4 linked regions of the Saccharomyces cerevisiae S288C genome follow. Changing the gene in region 1 together with any one later gene gives a genetic interaction. Each region holds a gene or a part of one and is shown on either strand. Other genes may lie near its edges. The genes, in order: FIS1, SSK2, FAR10 and ATP20.

What was found.
Region 2: mutations in FIS1 (region 1) and SSK2 together harm fitness more than expected from each alone (negative genetic interaction), as found in Saccharomyces cerevisiae (3 studies listed by BioGRID).
Region 3: mutations in FIS1 (region 1) and FAR10 together harm fitness more than expected from each alone (negative genetic interaction), as found in Saccharomyces cerevisiae (2 studies listed by BioGRID).
Region 4: mutations in FIS1 (region 1) and ATP20 together harm fitness more than expected from each alone (negative genetic interaction), as found in Saccharomyces cerevisiae (4 studies listed by BioGRID).

Annotation. Positions count from the first base shown.
Region 1 is NC_001141.2:240,631-243,476, reverse strand, and holds FIS1 (Fis1p), read left to right. Parts: upstream 1-1,701; coding exon 1,702-2,169; downstream 2,170-2,846. Other genes in the region: YRB2 (Yrb2p), read left to right, coding at 1-716; EFM4 (Efm4p), read right to left, coding at 761-1,450; ribonucleotide-diphosphate reductase subunit RNR3, read left to right, coding at 2,769-2,846. UniProt on the Saccharomyces cerevisiae protein: Has a role in mitochondrial fission. Has a role in outer membrane fission but not matrix separation. Required for targeting MDV1 to the mitochondria.
Region 2 is NC_001146.8:679,861-687,417, forward strand, and holds SSK2 (mitogen-activated protein kinase kinase kinase SSK2), read right to left. Parts: upstream 5,574-7,557; coding exon 834-5,573; downstream 1-833. Other genes in the region: ALG12 (dolichyl-P-Man:Man(7)GlcNAc(2)-PP-dolichol alpha-1,6-mannosyltransferase), read left to right, coding at 1-594; putative serine/threonine-protein kinase PPG1, read left to right, coding at 6,150-7,256; ubiquitin-like protein HUB1, read right to left, coding at 7,383-7,557. UniProt on the Saccharomyces cerevisiae protein: Kinase involved in a signal transduction pathway that is activated by changes in the osmolarity of the extracellular environment. Activates the PBS2 MAP kinase kinase by phosphorylation.
Region 3 is NC_001144.5:613,153-617,006, reverse strand, and holds FAR10 (Far10p), read right to left. Parts: upstream 2,253-3,854; coding exon 816-2,252; downstream 1-815. Other genes in the region: lipoyl(octanoyl) transferase LIP2, read left to right, coding at 1-675; thiamine transporter THI7, read right to left, coding at 2,844-3,854.
Region 4 is NC_001148.4:598,151-600,887, reverse strand, and holds ATP20 (F1F0 ATP synthase subunit g), read right to left. Parts: upstream 1,019-2,737; coding exon 671-1,018; downstream 1-670. Other genes in the region: AGC1 (citrin), read left to right, coding at 1-239; MCM DNA helicase complex subunit MCM4, read right to left, coding at 1,337-2,737. UniProt on the Saccharomyces cerevisiae protein: Mitochondrial membrane ATP synthase (F(1)F(0) ATP synthase or Complex V) produces ATP from ADP in the presence of a proton gradient across the membrane which is generated by electron transport complexes of the respiratory chain.

The sequences.
Region 1 (2,846 bases):
AAGATGACAAAAAGGAGGATAAATTCGTGTTTGGTGCCGCATCTAAATTTGGAACTGGGTTTGGTGTTGCCAAAAAGGACACGAAAGATGGAGATGCAACTACCAGTACTGAAAGTTTACCAGCCTCTGACAGCAAAACAAAGAAGCCATTTGCATTTGGTTCAGGTTTATCATTTGGCAGCGGCTTCAACATACTGAAAAACAAAACAGAAAATAACTCTGAAAGTGAAAAGAAAGCTACTGATGTTGACAAAGATAAAGTCCATAGTGGATCTGAACAACTAGCGAATGCCTCAGAAGATACAAAAGACAAACCAAAACCCCTCAAATTGCAGAAACAGGAAGTCAAGTCTGGTGAAGAGTCTGAGGAGTGCATATATCAAGTCAATGCGAAGCTGTACCAACTTTCCAACATAAAAGAAGGCTGGAAGGAAAGAGGTGTTGGTATCATCAAAATCAATAAAAGTAAGGACGACGTCGAGAAGACGCGTATTGTTATGAGGTCTCGTGGTATCTTAAAAGTCATTTTAAACATCCAACTGGTCAAGGGGTTCACTGTGCAAAAAGGATTTACAGGTTCTTTGCAAAGCGAAAAATTCATAAGATTACTAGCAGTAGATGATAACGGTGATCCTGCACAGTACGCCATAAAGACTGGTAAGAAGGAAACCACGGATGAATTGTATAACATTATAGTTAAATCCGTTCCTAAATAAGTAAAGAGAAATAACGTTAAAAATAAATCAAAGATAAAAACAAATCAGTTTTGTTTAACAAATGCTACACTACATATGGTCGCACCCTGGACCCCGCCAAATTGGAAAACAGGGTATTTTATTGTTTTCCACATTTTCAAATTATCAGTCTCTATGATCTTTACTAGTTCATCTTGTGTGAAATTACAAGAAGTGATCAAGAAAATACCGTCTTTTTTCAAAATCCTTTCCACTACTCCGGCGTATACATCGACTACATCAAGTTTACCGTTGATCTTCATGCCACTCAATGAAATGGCATCTAGGGTCCCTTTATCCAACACAATGTCATACTTTCCCGGCTTCCAGTCACCACTAAAGATGTCTGCTTGCTGGAAACTGATGAAATTGTCAACACCGGTGGCCTCGGCTATATTACTAGCGAGTTTGACGCTTTCCTCAGAATAGTCTATCCCGACCAGTTTCCCTTGGAATTCCGTTTGATGCAGTTCAAATAACATGTGTCCATTACCTGTACCGAGGTCTACAACAGAAGCATTCTCAGAAATTCTGTACGCACCAATGTTATCTACCAGAAAATCAATCATCTTTTGTTCAGCATCGCTATCGCTAAACCAACAGTCCCCGGTATCCTGCGGATTCCGCCTGAAATTCTCCAGCTCCAGGGCATACAGTTCATCCCAGTATTTTTTCGTACCAAGTTTCGAAGTGCTCAAATCTGCCGTGCCCTGCATCTGTACTACCTTTTCGGGTTGAGTTCGTTCCATAATACCGTTCTTAAGAGCTGAGCTCATCGATTTTTTTTCACTTCTTTTCATGAACCAATCTTTTTGCGCATTTATGCCGGAACACCGCAAGCGGGCTAGGCTGGACCCCTTTCAAAGCAAAGCTGCCATTGCCACTATTCTGCACAGAAGTTATCATATACCTTGCGTAAAAACGGCACATAGAAGCACAGATCAGAGCACAGCCATACAACATAAGTATGACCAAAGTAGATTTTTGGCCAACTCTTAAGGACGCATACGAACCACTCTATCCGCAGCAGCTGGAGATTCTGCGCCAGCAAGTCGTCTCCGAGGGGGGGCCCACCGCTACCATACAGTCAAGGTTTAACTACGCATGGGGGCTGATCAAATCCACTGACGTGAATGACGAAAGGCTTGGTGTGAAAATCCTCACAGACATTTACAAAGAGGCCGAGTCCCGTAGACGAGAATGCCTATATTATCTGACCATAGGTTGCTACAAACTCGGTGAATACTCTATGGCGAAGAGATATGTAGACACTTTATTTGAGCATGAGCGTAATAACAAGCAGGTGGGCGCTTTGAAGAGTATGGTAGAGGATAAGATCCAGAAGGAAACACTCAAGGGTGTTGTCGTCGCTGGAGGCGTACTAGCCGGCGCTGTGGCCGTGGCTAGTTTCTTCTTAAGAAACAAGAGAAGGTAACAAGCACATAAAAAATCAGCACATACGTACATACATAAGAATGAATCGCACGCACGCGTAAACATTTATCATTTAATCTTCAGTTGTTAGATAAAAAAAAAAAGAAAAGAAAAGAAAGTGAAGGCTTGTTTCAGTTTGAACTAGGTAGCAGAGCAAGCCCTCGTTCTTGGCTGCTAATTTTCCTAAAGTAGTAAAAAAAGCCAAGTTATCTGCCTACGGTTGTCACAGCAACATTGCGTGCCGTTGTTCTTTTGTTTTTTTTTTTTTTTTTTTTTCGTGGTTGTCGCAGCAACGACACCTAGGCGCTGCTCAAAGGGGCAAAAACCCGGTTGCCATGGCGAGGACCAAACGACAAGATGGGAAAAAAACAATAGTCTATTGTTAAATCGTAATACTGTATTGTGAGATGCTGACGCGTTTCGTTTTTCGTGTCAGCGTTCTTTATATTGTTTCGTGTTCTGCTGCAAAACGTATATAAACGCACTGCTATTTTGCCTTCTTTTGCCTTCTTCCTTGCCTTTCTCTCATCTCATATCCAAGTTGAAATAAATATGACAAGCAAGAATAGCAGCAGCAATAAATCAAATACTCCCACACAAATGTACGTTATTAAAAGAGACGGCCGCAAAGAGCCCGTTCAATTCGATAAAATTACCTCCCGTATCACCCGTTTGTCA
Region 2 (7,557 bases), on another chromosome or scaffold:
ATGAAAGTAAAAAAGATTACCAATGTTTTATGTTTGGCTATATTGCCCTTATCTATAATGACCTCCTTTTTCATTTCAATGGCGTTCTTGTATATATCAAGAATGAATTATCCAGGCGGCGAGGCTTTAACTTCTTTTAATGACATGATTGTGGAAAAAAATATTACAAACGCTACAGTTCATATCAGCATACCTCCTTGCATGACAGGTGTCACTTTATTTGGTGAATTGAACTACGGTGTGTACGGCATCAATTACGATAAGACTGAAAATACGACTTTACTGCAGGAAATGTGGCCCTCCTTTGATTTCTTGATCACCCACGAGCCAACCGCCTCTCAATTGCCATTCGAGAATAAGACTACCAACCATTGGGAGCTAGTTAACACAACAAAGATGTTTACTGGATTTGACCCAACCTACATTAAGAACTTTGTTTTCCAAGAGAGAGTGAATGTTTTGTCTCTACTCAAACAGATCATTTTCGACAAGACCCCTACCGTTTTTTTGAAAGAATTGACGGCCAATTCGATTGTTAAAAGCGATGTCTTCTTCACCTATAAGAGAATCAAACAAGATGAAAAAACTGATTGATAATAGCTAACGTCAATTCCAATAAAATATATAGCGAGCGTTTTACATTAATCCACCTCGACTAGACTTCAAATTTTCACTTTTATATCTTACCTTTATAAATTTCTGTTCTCAAAATCAAAACAATTATAAAAAAATGCTATCATTAATCTTCTATCCTTGAATTAACATTATATACTCTCCCCCCACTACATTATATTTTGATTTTACATATAATACAACAAACCTTCTCAACTTAACTACTCTCTTTCCTCAGTATCTGTAGAGGAAGAATCGTCGCCAAAGGCTATTTCTCTAATTTGTACAATCCAAGGATCCATCAACAGCTCAACCGCACTGGCTCTCTTGGAGGGGTTTTGAATAAGACATCTTTCCAGAAATTTCATACCAGCAGACGACACTTCATCCTTAGTAGGGAATTGTGGGGTATGTCCTGCAGCAACATGGTACATGATAGCCCATTCATTATCTAAGTTAGCCCATGGCCGTCTACCAGTGATCATTTCTAATACCACGCAGCCTAACGACCAAACATCGTCTGCCCCAAGTTTGCCTTTGGTGGTAGATCCAGTGATGGATTCTGGAGCCATGTACATAGGAGTTCCCATCATGTCTAATAGAGCATTTTCGTTATTTTTCACTGCCTTTGAATCAGAAACATGGGTAACATCTTCGTGTTCACCATCTGCGTTTTCGATTTTGTTCATACTTGCCAATCTAGTTCCATTATTAGCAATTTTTTTAGCAGCACCAAAATCAACATACTTAATAACACCATTAAAATCTAGTAGGATGTTTTCGGGTTTAACATCACGGTGAACAATGCCGGATTCATGCAAATATGCAAGTCCTTCTAGCAATTGTAAAGTGTAGACTTGAGTGACCATTTCATCTTCAATACGACCATGCTCCAAAAGAGCTGCTAGGGAACCGCCTTCACAATATTCCATAAAGATGTTAACTTTATCACGATGAACTTCAACACCGTAATATGAAACTATATTTGGATGGTTCAATATCTCTAAGACACTCATTTCCTCCTTGATTAAGGGGAATATTTTTTGCATTGATTTGCTATCTTGAATATTGATTTCCTTGACTGCTAAAATCTCACCATTATCCAAATCAACAGCAGAATATACCCTTCCAAAAGTACCGCCACCAATAAAGTTCCTCTTTTGCCATCTCATAGAAACGTTCGATATGGAAGATGCCAAAGAAACAAGGTACTTGTTACCTTTGTCACTATCATCAATTACTTTACCAGTTTGATGAGGATTCCGCTTTATCCTTTCTTCCAATTCCATTATACTTTGTACTCGGAACTCGGAATTCACTTGTAGCATCATATCATCGTCAAACACATCTTCCAAATCAAGATTTGATCTAGCTTGTTGATTGATTTTCTCAACTTCTATGGAGCGTGCGCCTATTATATCAAAATGAGAAATAAGTAATGACATGCATTCTGAAATTTTTTGTTTTAAAGAAGAAAATTGGCATTCATCAAGAGCTAGTATGTTCCAACCGCTTACCATATGCATCGCGAACTCCATTGACGTGACACACCACCTAAATACCCTTTGATCAGTCGGATCACAGTCTTCAGCTAAGAACTTCAGCCATCCGATACTTAACCGCATCATTAAAAGTATTATAATGGATCTTTTTTCATTGTTGGCAACATTAATTCTCAAAAAGTTCAGACCAAAATCCCTCCCAAAAAGGAAAATATTATTCAATAAATCATTGACAGGACTTACCTTCTTGAACGTGGTCACAATCTTTGTATAGTTCTTCAGAACACTGTACGTGCATCTGAAATATGCTTTATTTATCCTTTGTAAGTTGTTTTTAACCGTTTCTGAGGAAGATTTTTTTTCCAAGAAAGAAACTGAGCTACCAGATATCTGTTGGAACCTGTCACATTGGTATTCTAAGGCATAACTGGATCCTTGGCACATCAAATCTATTGAATTAGGAATTACTTTCAAGTTCAATCCCTCTGGTTTAATTGTTTTGTTATCGGATAGATTATACATCTCACCCTCCCAAAGTAATGGCTCTTGCGGAGTCAATACCAATACATAACCAAGAGAGTTCAATCTTGTCTCCAGTTCATAAAACTCTTCCTCCGTGCTCCTGCTGTTTTCAAAATCCGGTTCACGATTGACTCTATTACCGTTATAAGATCTAGGCTGGGTGGTCAAATCGTTTTTGATATAATAAAATGGGGTACCATCATTCGAGATATCTGAACCCAGTGATGAGTTGGAGTTCCAATTATCATCCAAAGCATTATAAATTGTCAGACTGTTATTAATTTCTAGCTTAGGCACTAAATCACAACCGATGTCTGAATTCTTAATGATTCTTAAAATATCATCATCTTTACAGCCTAATAGCTCTGGGCTACCAATTAAATAAGTACCATTTTGCTCTAGGTAACCTCCTGTGTATATAAGAAAGTGGCCTGTTTCTTTTAGTTGCTTTAGCAGATAGTTGTGATCTTCTATCTTGTAGCGGACAAAATTTTGAAATGCTTTTGTCAAAATATTGGTGAATCTATTGAGTTTTCTTTTCATGGATCCAAGTATTTCGAATATTTGCACCAGCCATTTTTCAGCAGCAGCTTCATTCTCTAATTTTGGCGGAGTGTTTTGCTGCCTTAAAAGGTAAGCGTGCAATCTGTGAACCAATCTAAGTGTCAACTTCGTAAATTCTGCTGCGATCAGTTCGCCTGCATCATCAATATAATAGCCGACGTTTCTAAACATTTCCCAATATTTTAATAACAGATCAGGTTCTTTAGAAGTCTTGAATGAGTTTTTGCCACTATATAATATTCTCAGTTCCAAAATGGAGAAAAAATATTCCAATCCTTCAACAACGGTATGATCAAATTCGGGATCGATTTTCACTTTAAAAAACCAGTCATTACAGTAAGAAGCAACAGTGAATTTCATTTGGACTGCCAACTTAATATATGTACTAAAATCGTCCATCATTTGATCGATCATCATCAAGGTTGGATTCTGTATTTTCTTCGCGTAAGATAGGCGAATTAGTATTATATCTTTTACCAAACGCATTGGAAACATCAATAAAAATTCCAGATCTTGATCCAAATAAGATAGATTCAATTCATTCCAAGTTTTTTGGTATTTCAAGAAGAAAAATTTGGCCTTCAAAATCCATGGTGCTAATGGAAAGAATATTTTTTTTTGAAATATCAGTTCAATATCCTTTTCCTTCATAATTTGCTCCGCAAAGCGTTTACAATTAGTGGCGAAAACGGCTGGATCATCCAAATTCACGGTGGTGTTATCCACTTCGGTAGTGCTTTCTAGCTCTTTATTGCCAACTATCCATTTTTTCAGGTACGCAATATTAGTATCAAAGTTAAATTTGAAATTAAGCCAACTATTCAAAGTATCTATTCGATTCCTGAATGCTTCTGTTTTAGTAATGGGTTTTTCAGCATGCATTCTTTTAATGTTAGGCCATAGATTTAAGACTCTATAATATTTGTCTACTAGTGATTTGATAGTCTCTGCAGCCTCGTCAGCGCTCATATTATCTTCTAGTTTAAAGGCCATGATTTCTTGAAATACGGAGTCAGTAGAATCCCTAAAAATCCTCAGAGATTTGTTCTGATCTTCCACGGTCCTCCCATTCATCCATGCCTTCAACTCAATCCAAATGTCATCTGAAAACTGAGTATTGAAGCCAGGGCCTTTCCCTTGATTTGCAATCTTCGTTTTTTCATTCCTCACAATATCTCCCTTCAGTACCTTAGATAACATTGTTTGCCATTCAAATCGGTTGTTCACCATAGGATTTTGTAACAATTTTGACAGCAAATCCTCGCTCCCCAGTATGGAATGCCACTCCTCATCTTCTATTTCACACGGTTGATCATTGTTCACATCCCTCAACCAATCCAATTTGCCCTTTAGATAATTTAGGCTCATCGAAACAACATTTTCATTATTTTTTGTGCTCGACGTAATAAAATTATAACCAAAATTGAAGTCGTTATCTTTATCCTCACCTTCTACCTTTAAAAGATCATCCATTTCTAGTTCTAAGTCATCTTCACCTTTGTTACTAAAATTTTCTTCGTCATCTTCAAAGTTGGATGATGCGACTATACCTCTAGTGTAATAATCATCATTAGCACGGTTTCTCATTTTTCTTAAATATAACTGTTCATTTAATACATATTGTTTTTTGTATGTTCGGAGGCTCGTTGTGCTTCCACCATGGTGGCCTACAGACCGTTGCGAGCTATTTGTCGTGACAATATCCTGCAAAGTGGAGGAACTTGTTGACCCATTTGGTTGCGATCTGGTGGGAATGTGTTTGTTCGAAGTTTGGTTTGTAATATTTTGTGGCGTTGACATAATCGATGTATTCGTTGTATTTAGTGAAGCCAGTTCTGGTGATATCACTAACGTTGGGGTCGTCAATAATGGATCTTGATTACTATTCACGGGAGCGGGCTTCTTAATAATCTCGCTCTCTGTTTTACTAGCCTCAACTTTCTTATGTACAGGAACAGGTTGAGTAGACAACTTCGGTAGAGACTGCTGAGGATTTTTTGGTAGAGGAAGACCAATATTCGAGGGCCGTCTACTAGATCTTGCCGAGGAGCTGGAGGACCCAGAAATGGCATTTTGATGAAAAAACTGACCTTGAGGTATACCCGGAAGACGATTGAATAGCTGTACTGTATTTAATGGAGACTCTCCAGGGCTGTAAACAGCGTTTGGTGATCTAAAGTACTGGGTAGAATGCAGCCCTGGGCTGATGGGCGATGACGCTACTCGAGCCTGCGTAGTATTGGAATTTCGCCCTAAACTTTCCGACCTTAGTCTAGATGAAGATGATGAAGATGACTGCCTCATCTTGGAGCTGCTGGGCTTTTCCGTGGAATCGCCGTAAGGCTTATAATTGAAGTAGTCTGAATGCGACATTATTTGTGCCTGTCAAATAGTTTACGCAAAGGCTTCTCTTCTTTTTAGTAATGGCAGACTGTTTGTACTTGAAACTGCCCAATAGTAACTTGAAGGACAGACGGAGCTCACACAAAAGTTAACAAATATGCTGGAACCTTTTTTTTTCCTTTGAATTCTTTGTAAACCAGTAATTCGTTTTGAAAACACCCGTTCTTAGCTGTTCTTTAACAGTACTACTCTCTAAGGCAATAACACACTGGGGCAGCAACAATTACAATCTTCTAACCTCTTCTAATCTGCAGATTTGGCTTCTTTCTATCTCTGTTTACCCACCTTTATCACTCTTTTCAGATTAATCAATTCTTTCCATACAAAGAAACGCCCGAAAAGTGGCGCGAGTTTCCCGGGTGATGGAGCAGTAATTAATAATGCAAAACTGCTAAAATACCCACTGTTTCAGGGTATGAAACGCGGTATTTTCAGCGAGTTGTAGGTAATTTGGAACAGTTCGTGACTGTTTATTAAGTTCCACTCATTGCAGTTGTATCCCCACTGTGTACTTTTATTTTTGGTTAGAGAATTGGCCCAGTAGAGATGGAATTGGACGAATGTTTAGAAAGGCTATACAAGGCCCAGTTACTACCTGAAGTGACTGTAAGGGCACTCTGCTTTAAGCTGAAGGAAATGCTAGTGAAGGAGTCAAACGTGATTCACATTCAGACCCCTGTCACAGTCGTGGGGGATATGCATGGACAGTTTCACGATATGCTGGAGATCTTCCAAATAGGCGGCCCTGTTCCTGATACGAATTATCTGTTCTTGGGCGACTATGTAGACAGGGGGTTGTACAGTGTGGAAACAATTATGCTATTGATTGTGCTTAAGCTTCGATATCCTAGTAGAATTCATCTTTTGAGGGGAAACCACGAGTCACGTCAAATCACGCAGAGCTATGGTTTCTACACGGAGTGCTTGAACAAGTACGGTGGCAATTCAAGAGTTTGGCAATATTTGACAGATATATTTGACTATCTAGTGTTATGCTGTATTATCGACGACGAAATTTTTTGTGTTCATGGTGGGCTCTCGCCCAATGTTCAAACCATAGATCAGATCAAGATTATTGATAGATTTCGAGAAATTCCACACGATGGCGCCATGGCAGACTTGGTTTGGTCTGATCCGGAAGAAAACAATAACCCCACGTTAGATCATCCAGATAACTCTGGACAACATTTCCAGGTGTCACCTCGTGGAGCAGGTTATACTTTCGGAAGAAGCGTGGTGGAGAAATTCTTACGTATGAACGATATGAACAGAATATACAGAGCCCATCAGTTATGTAACGAAGGTTACCAGATATATTTTGATGGATTGGTTACTACTGTATGGTCGGCGCCAAACTATTGTTATCGGTGCGGCAATAAAGCATCTATTCTGGAGCTGTATAGTAAAGATCAATTCTACTTCAACGTTTTCGAAGAGGCACCTGAAAATAAACTGTTGAAAGAGAACAGTATGAACGACAATGCCTTAGAAGATAGCATATCTAATCCGGTAGCCAACAGGAAATTGATTGCAGATTATTTCGAAGACGACTCTGCCTCCGCAGATGGCTCCACGGACCCTGAAATGTACATATTTTCAGATGTATACCAAGCCAGATCTGCTTCTAACAGACATGTTGATTACTTCTTGTAGCTTACTAAACAATAGAAAAGCATTATAGAGACAACGCCATCTTATTATTTCTACATATTCTATCTCTCTCGGTTGCAAATGTATGTATTGTGTATTTAGATCAAAAAAAAAAAAACAGCGCATTTTCTACAGGTAATACAGCTCCAAATTTGTCTGATCATGTACCTCATAATCTTCCAGAGAGATATGGTCTTTTAAAACACTTCCACCCTTCTGCAACACAATTTTGTTTGGTTGGGTGCCAATTTGCAAGGACAATACTTTTTTGAAATCACCTACACTATCTTCAGCAAGGCACTTC
Region 3 (3,854 bases), on another chromosome or scaffold:
GTTATGGCAATGAAACCTAATCCGATAATATTAACGTTTGAGTTTGAGCCAACTTATACAGGTGGGAAGAGGATTAAGAAAACTATGACGCCAGATCAGATAGCGGCTTATGAAAGTTTCATTCCAGAAACGCAAAAGGACAACCCACGACCAAAGTTTGTTCAAGTGGAAAGGGGTGGACAAGTAACATTTCATGGTCCAGGCCAAATTGTTATTTACATTATTTTAGATTTGAAAACATTTCAAAGTTTCCCTGCTAAATGCTTGGTTTCATGCATTGAGCAGGCCACTATCAGAACGTTGAAGAATACCAAGATGTGCGACGACACTGACAAGCCTTTGAACTTAGATGCTATGACTACAAAGGACACTGGAGTTTGGGTTGAAAATGGCAAGAAGAAAGTTGCTAGTGTTGGAATACACGTCAGACGTTCCATAACATCGCACGGGGTAGCAATTAATGTTAATACAGATCTATCGTATATGAATAGTTTTGAAATGTGCGGTTTGAAAAATACACTGACTACTTCAATTATGGAACAACGACCCGATGCTGTTGTAAATGTGCAAAGTGTAGCAATTAGTTTTGTCAAAGAAATGACAAAGCTGCTAGGAATAAAAACTTTGGAAAGAATGCAAATTGACGACGTCAATATTTTGAAAAAGAATCCGTGAGACGGATGACTCCCCCCATACTTTCTTAAATGAAAGGATGCTTACCTTTTTTTACATGTGAATATCTATTACATATATACGTACGTATATAATAATCTCTGACGTGAAAAGCGGATCGTGTGTGTCTTGTATTTACGATGCTAGTTGGGGGAAAGGATCTTGAAGACAATAGCTATAATCCCGATGGAAATAGTTCCAAATGTTAATAGTGTGAAATGATTACATAGCGTGTTCTTGATGCTAAATTTGTCAGTACCCTTAGGATTCATGCCCGGGACGCCTCTAGTGTCATGTTCGGTAGTCTTTTTTTTAGATGCAGTTGAGAGTTCTTGTTCTTTCTGTTTGTTCTTCTTCATCATTTGTGAATTCTTATATCGTTCCACTTCTAACCTAGTTTTCAAGTCTTCTATTTCCCTTTCCATGCTTTTTTGCTTTTCATTATTTCTTCTTTTCTTCACTTCAAATGACTTTTTGAAAAACATATGGTCCCTTTCCAACTGTTTTACTTGATTTCTGTTTTGTTCGATAATCTTTTCGTATTTCCCCGACAGTTTCCTTCTTAATCCATTTTGCAGCTTTACCAGTTGCTGATCATTTTTTTCCACTAAAAGTTTGTTCGTGTATTCTAGATGTGTCGTATAATTAATTAAGAAATTCTCCATCGACTGTAATTTAAAATTATCGCATTTGGAAAATGGAATTTCCATTGCCAGGGTTTTGATGATATTAGATAAAGTCGGGCTCGTACCAATACAATTATTAATAAAAATTCCACTCAGTATTTCTGTATCAGAGCCCAGGATAACTTCTTCCAATTCTAGGTTGTTGGAATCACCATATATGTGACTTGTTATGGCAGCAGCCTCCTCTTTTTCTGTAATTGTATGGCAATCATCACTATCTTCATTTTCAAAAATCGGTGATTCTAATAAAGGTTGTACAAATAGTTCTTCAACTGTGGCACTTATTTTTCGATGCTCAATTTTCGTATCTATATCTGTTCCCAAGTCTATCACATCGCCAACTTTGATTTCTACGTCATTTGAGCCAATTCTTTGACCGTTAATGAACGTACCATTACTGGATTTTAAGTCTCGTATATATACCTTACCCGTGAGCGGGTCGCAACTTAACAATGCATGATTCCTGGAGAGTACTCTTGAATCGAAATTACCATTATCGGACCTTACTTGGGAAAAAGTGTGTGAATCCACTCTTTTACCGCCCCTGAGCGATGAACTGGAGCTGCTATTACTATTAGCAACAGGCCTTCCCAATTTCAAACCATCTGGTTTAAATGGTATCACCACATGTTTGCTCTCAAAAGTTCCATTTAGTGATGTGAGGACTAGAATGTAAGTATATTTTCTCCTTGGTGTTCTTGATATGCTATGTGGAAAATAGCTTTTTGTTGGGTCGGCTATTCTCTTGTCATACTTTTCAATTGGCCTCTTCGATGAATTCGTAGATCCATCAATTAGATTTGCATTCTTGGGTATACTATTATATGTTATCTGTTTCTTGCCCGGAGAACTGGGGTGCTCCTCCTTATTTATTTCAGGTCCAGGACCAGTCATTGGATTCGATTATATCTATAGCTTCCAATATAACCAACGACAGGCTCCTTGTGAGGGTTACTTTGTCACTCTTGCCTTAATTTTGTGTTCACGTAGTGCTTGTGACTTTCAAGAACAAATTTTTAATTATGTTCCGTTATGGTAAACAAGTGAAATTTCAAAAGTTGAGCACCACGATTACGGAATAACAACAAATAACGAAGGTTGAAGAAATTAGATAATAGATGAGAAAAAAAGAACACCAGAGAGAGAACAGGTGCTTTCTAAAAGATTTCAATTCAGGGCGAATAATAGTAGTCCTTACCCCTTAATATATTGGAATATAATAGGACTAGTTAGACGCTGGCAATAAGATTGGTTTATTGTTCTTTTTTTTACGACTGTAACAAAGCTACGTTATTTTTTGTTTTTCTTTTTTTTTAATTTATTTGGTATTATATATCTAGTGTATATGTTATTATTAGGAAAGAGCTGTTATTTAATATTAAGTGTGAACGAAGGAAAATTTCGTAGGTAAAAAAATTAGTGCAGAGAGCCATTAAATGAAAGGGAAATTTTATTCTTAATTATTTTTTGCAATTTTATTTCCCACTAAGCAGCTTTTTCACTGGCGGTGGAGGATTGCTTTTCATTATTCTTATGATGAACTATTTCAAACTCATTGGTGTTTTCAGAGCTAGTTTTGACCAACTCAGGTATTTCATCGTCGGAGCCTTCAGGTCTGTACTCGTGGCCGGTAGTGTAACCTTCGCCTAATGTGTAAGCGCGGATTTCTTCTTCAGAAATTTCACTGTATGGAACCATGCCCTTCTTTCTTGCTTCTTCGTCAGTAAAGGCACCATAATAATCTTTGTCATCATGTTTGACAGTAATTTTGAATGGGAAGAGGAGGCATAGTCCCCAATAGACGAAAAAGGAGATCAAAAACGAGAAGAAGGAGTCACCGTAAAAGAAATTGACAATACCAGTGTTGTGGAAATAGTCATTATTGACTTCCCAAGCAATACCAGGTAGACCGGGGGTCATACCACAAACCCAGGCAACAATAGCTCTCCAGTTAACACCCTTAGTGAAATAGTATTCACCCTTGAGAATAAAGGCATTAGTGATGGAGTATTGTCTTTTTCTGATCAAGAAGTTATCGCAAATCATGACAGAAATGATAGGAGTCATGACAACACCGAAAGAACTCATGACAGTCAAGAAAGTAGAAGAAGAGTTGTAGAAGTTCCATGGCAAACAAGCCCAGGAGACACATGCGGCAAAAAGGGCACCCCTCTTGATGTCGACATACTTGGGTAATAAACCGGCCAAATCCATACCACTGGCAAACCCACAGTTGGAGATGGTGTAGGACATTTGAGATAGGACAAATGAAAGACCACAGAAGAACGCACCGGCACGAGCACCTGCAGAATAGTTAGTTGTCAACCAATGGTTGAAGATATCCATAGGCATCCAATATTGTTCACCGTATAGTTTGTCACAGGTGGAGGCACCAATAACACCAAAAACTGGGATTAAAGTGGTTGGAATTAACAATGCACAGATGGTACCGGCCCAGATAGCCCAATTGGAGGAACCAAATCTCGAGTAATCACT
Region 4 (2,737 bases), on another chromosome or scaffold:
GAGAGGGTAGGAAGAGATTTTGTATCGATGACGACGCAGGCAATGAAGAGACAGTAGTTCATAGTAACGGTGAACTCCCACAGCAAAAGTTTTACTCTGATGATAGAAAACATGCCAATTATTACTATAAAAGCTGTCAAATTGCGAAAACATTCATTGATTTGGACAATAACTTTTCTAGGTTTGACTCTTCAGTTTATAAAAACTTTCAAGAGCACCTAAGAAGCATTAACGGGTGATTTATTTTCTTCGTCAGTTTCTCTGTACATATATATGTATATATTTACTTATTATAATTCATAGCAAAATATATGTTTTTTTTTTTTTCTTATAGTGAGAAAAATTACTAATGATCCTGAGATCAATTTCACTGTAGTTTTTACTATAGTGCAACAAGTATGTTGTTCTTAATAAGTGTAATGAAAGCTCTGAGGTCAAGTTTTCTTTTTTACAGAAAAGTTATATTGGCCTATTTCATAAATAACTGGCGGCAAGAAGCTAATGTAATATAACTCGATATCGCTTTTAATGCCATTGTATGTCATGAAAAGAAAATAAATAGAATTGAGATGAATATATATTCTTTTTTCTAGTTTTGTTCTATTTGTACATTGATTTAATTTAATTAACGAATATACAAGGGTTTTGCGAATAGATAGAATTAAAAAGCTTAGTGATGTTTATATCCCACTAATTTTCTTCTTCCAATTATTTCACCGACAGAATAAAACCCTATCAACTGAATACCATATGCGCCATATTTTAATAGTTCATTCTTTTGGATGTTTTTTAAACACGATAAAACTTCTGTAGGCTTTAGAGCAAAGTTTAGGCTCTGCTTATAAAGGTTCGAATACACTGATTTGAACTGGGCAACAGTTGGTGGTTGAAGACCCTCTTTTAAATAAATCTGTTTTGAAATCTCGGCACCGACTTTACCATAGTATAAAGCCTTTGATGACAAAAGATTTGCTTTAGAAACCAACCCACTGGTATAATTTTGGATCCTGCTTAGCATGATGAATTGATTAGCGTTCTGAAATATGATTTATCGGCAGGTTTATCTTGTCGATTTGGACTGGAGTAGAAAATATGAGGGATCTTTGCATCTTCATTTTTCGGTCTTTAAATGTAATCATCCTTCGGGATAAATTTAGTGCGTTTAACAATATTTTCTTTCAGCCAATCAGGAATAAGAAAAAAGCCGCCCACTCAATCGAGCCTACATACAGTATTGAATAGTGTTACAAAGCATAAGGATGTAAAAAATACAAACTTGCTATAATTAATTAGTATTTATTAATTGTTACGCAGGGAATGATTGTAGTAGACAGCATCAGACACGGTTATTCAGGCGAACTGATCTCCTTACACCCTCGCCAAGGACAATGACCTTGTCCTCTTGTTGCAATCTTGACAAGGCTTCCTGGATATCAGAAGACTCAACTCTATCTTGAGAGTGTTCATTGATTTGTTTTATAAGCTCATTGAATGACATTGAGTCTGATGCCTGATCCTTCAAAACATTCATAATTTCCCTTGACAAATCCTCCTGTAGTTTTCTCTGAATAACTGATTTACCTGTTTGAACTAAATTCATGTCGATTTTACCGGTTTTAGGGTCTGTTGCATAATCTTTTATGGCTGATCTAATTAATCTAACGGCTTCTTGAACATCCTCCAGCTCTACGACGTTTTTCAATTTCATTTTGGCGTGCGCCTCAGCCAAACGAATCATACTTTCAAGTTGTCTTGTGGTAGCTGTGATTCTCTTCTCATCGGATCTCGAATCGTCACCCATCTTTCTCATTCCTACATAAGCACGAACAAGCTCAGTCTTAGCGGCCTCGGTGATTATTGGGTGTATGTGCTCCTTTGCATAACTAATATACATCGTTAAAAATTCAACTGGTAGCACGTCGTCTTGAGAAATATGTTCGGGCTTATCTTCCAGGTAAAGATTTGTTAAGTGTTTGGCTAGTTCTCTGTCATTTTTCTCATCAACCTTATCAAGGACAAGATAGACCAGATCGAATCTCGAAAGTAGTGGGGGCGGTAGATCAATATTTTCAGTCACAGGCAAATTGGGGTTGTAGCGTGAACCAATTGGGTTAGCACTGGCCAAAATAGAACTTCTGGCATTAAGTGTTGTGATAATTCCCGCTTTTGCGATTGAAATAGTCTGCTGTTCCATGACTTCGTGCAAGACGGACCTTGTAGAATCACTCATTTTATCAAACTCGTCAATACAACAAACACCTCCATCAGACAATACTAATGCACCACTTTCCAAAACAAGTTGTTTTGTGTCGACATCCCTTGTAATATAAGCAGTTAAACCAACGGCAGATGAACCTTTACCCGAAGTATACACACCACGAGGAGTAATTTTGTGAACGTATTGCAAAATTTGCGATTTGGAAGTAGAAGGATCCCCACAAAGTAAAATATTTATGTCACCTCTATAACGGCCACCCTTGGTAAAGGTTTTATTCGTGCCGCCAAATAGCTGAAGTAATATACCCTTCTTGACATCTTCTAGCTCGTAAATACTTGGGGCAATAGAGCGGGCTAATAAACTGTATAAATCTTCTCTTGCCGCAACCTCGCGAATTTTTGCTAAATCCTGATCAGTAATTTGTCTTACTTCTTCGACCTCGTTATGATCTACCTTGTTCTGCATTAATTCTTGTTCAATAGTAGAAGTATCGACGTCTAACCTCTTATCTGAAACTTT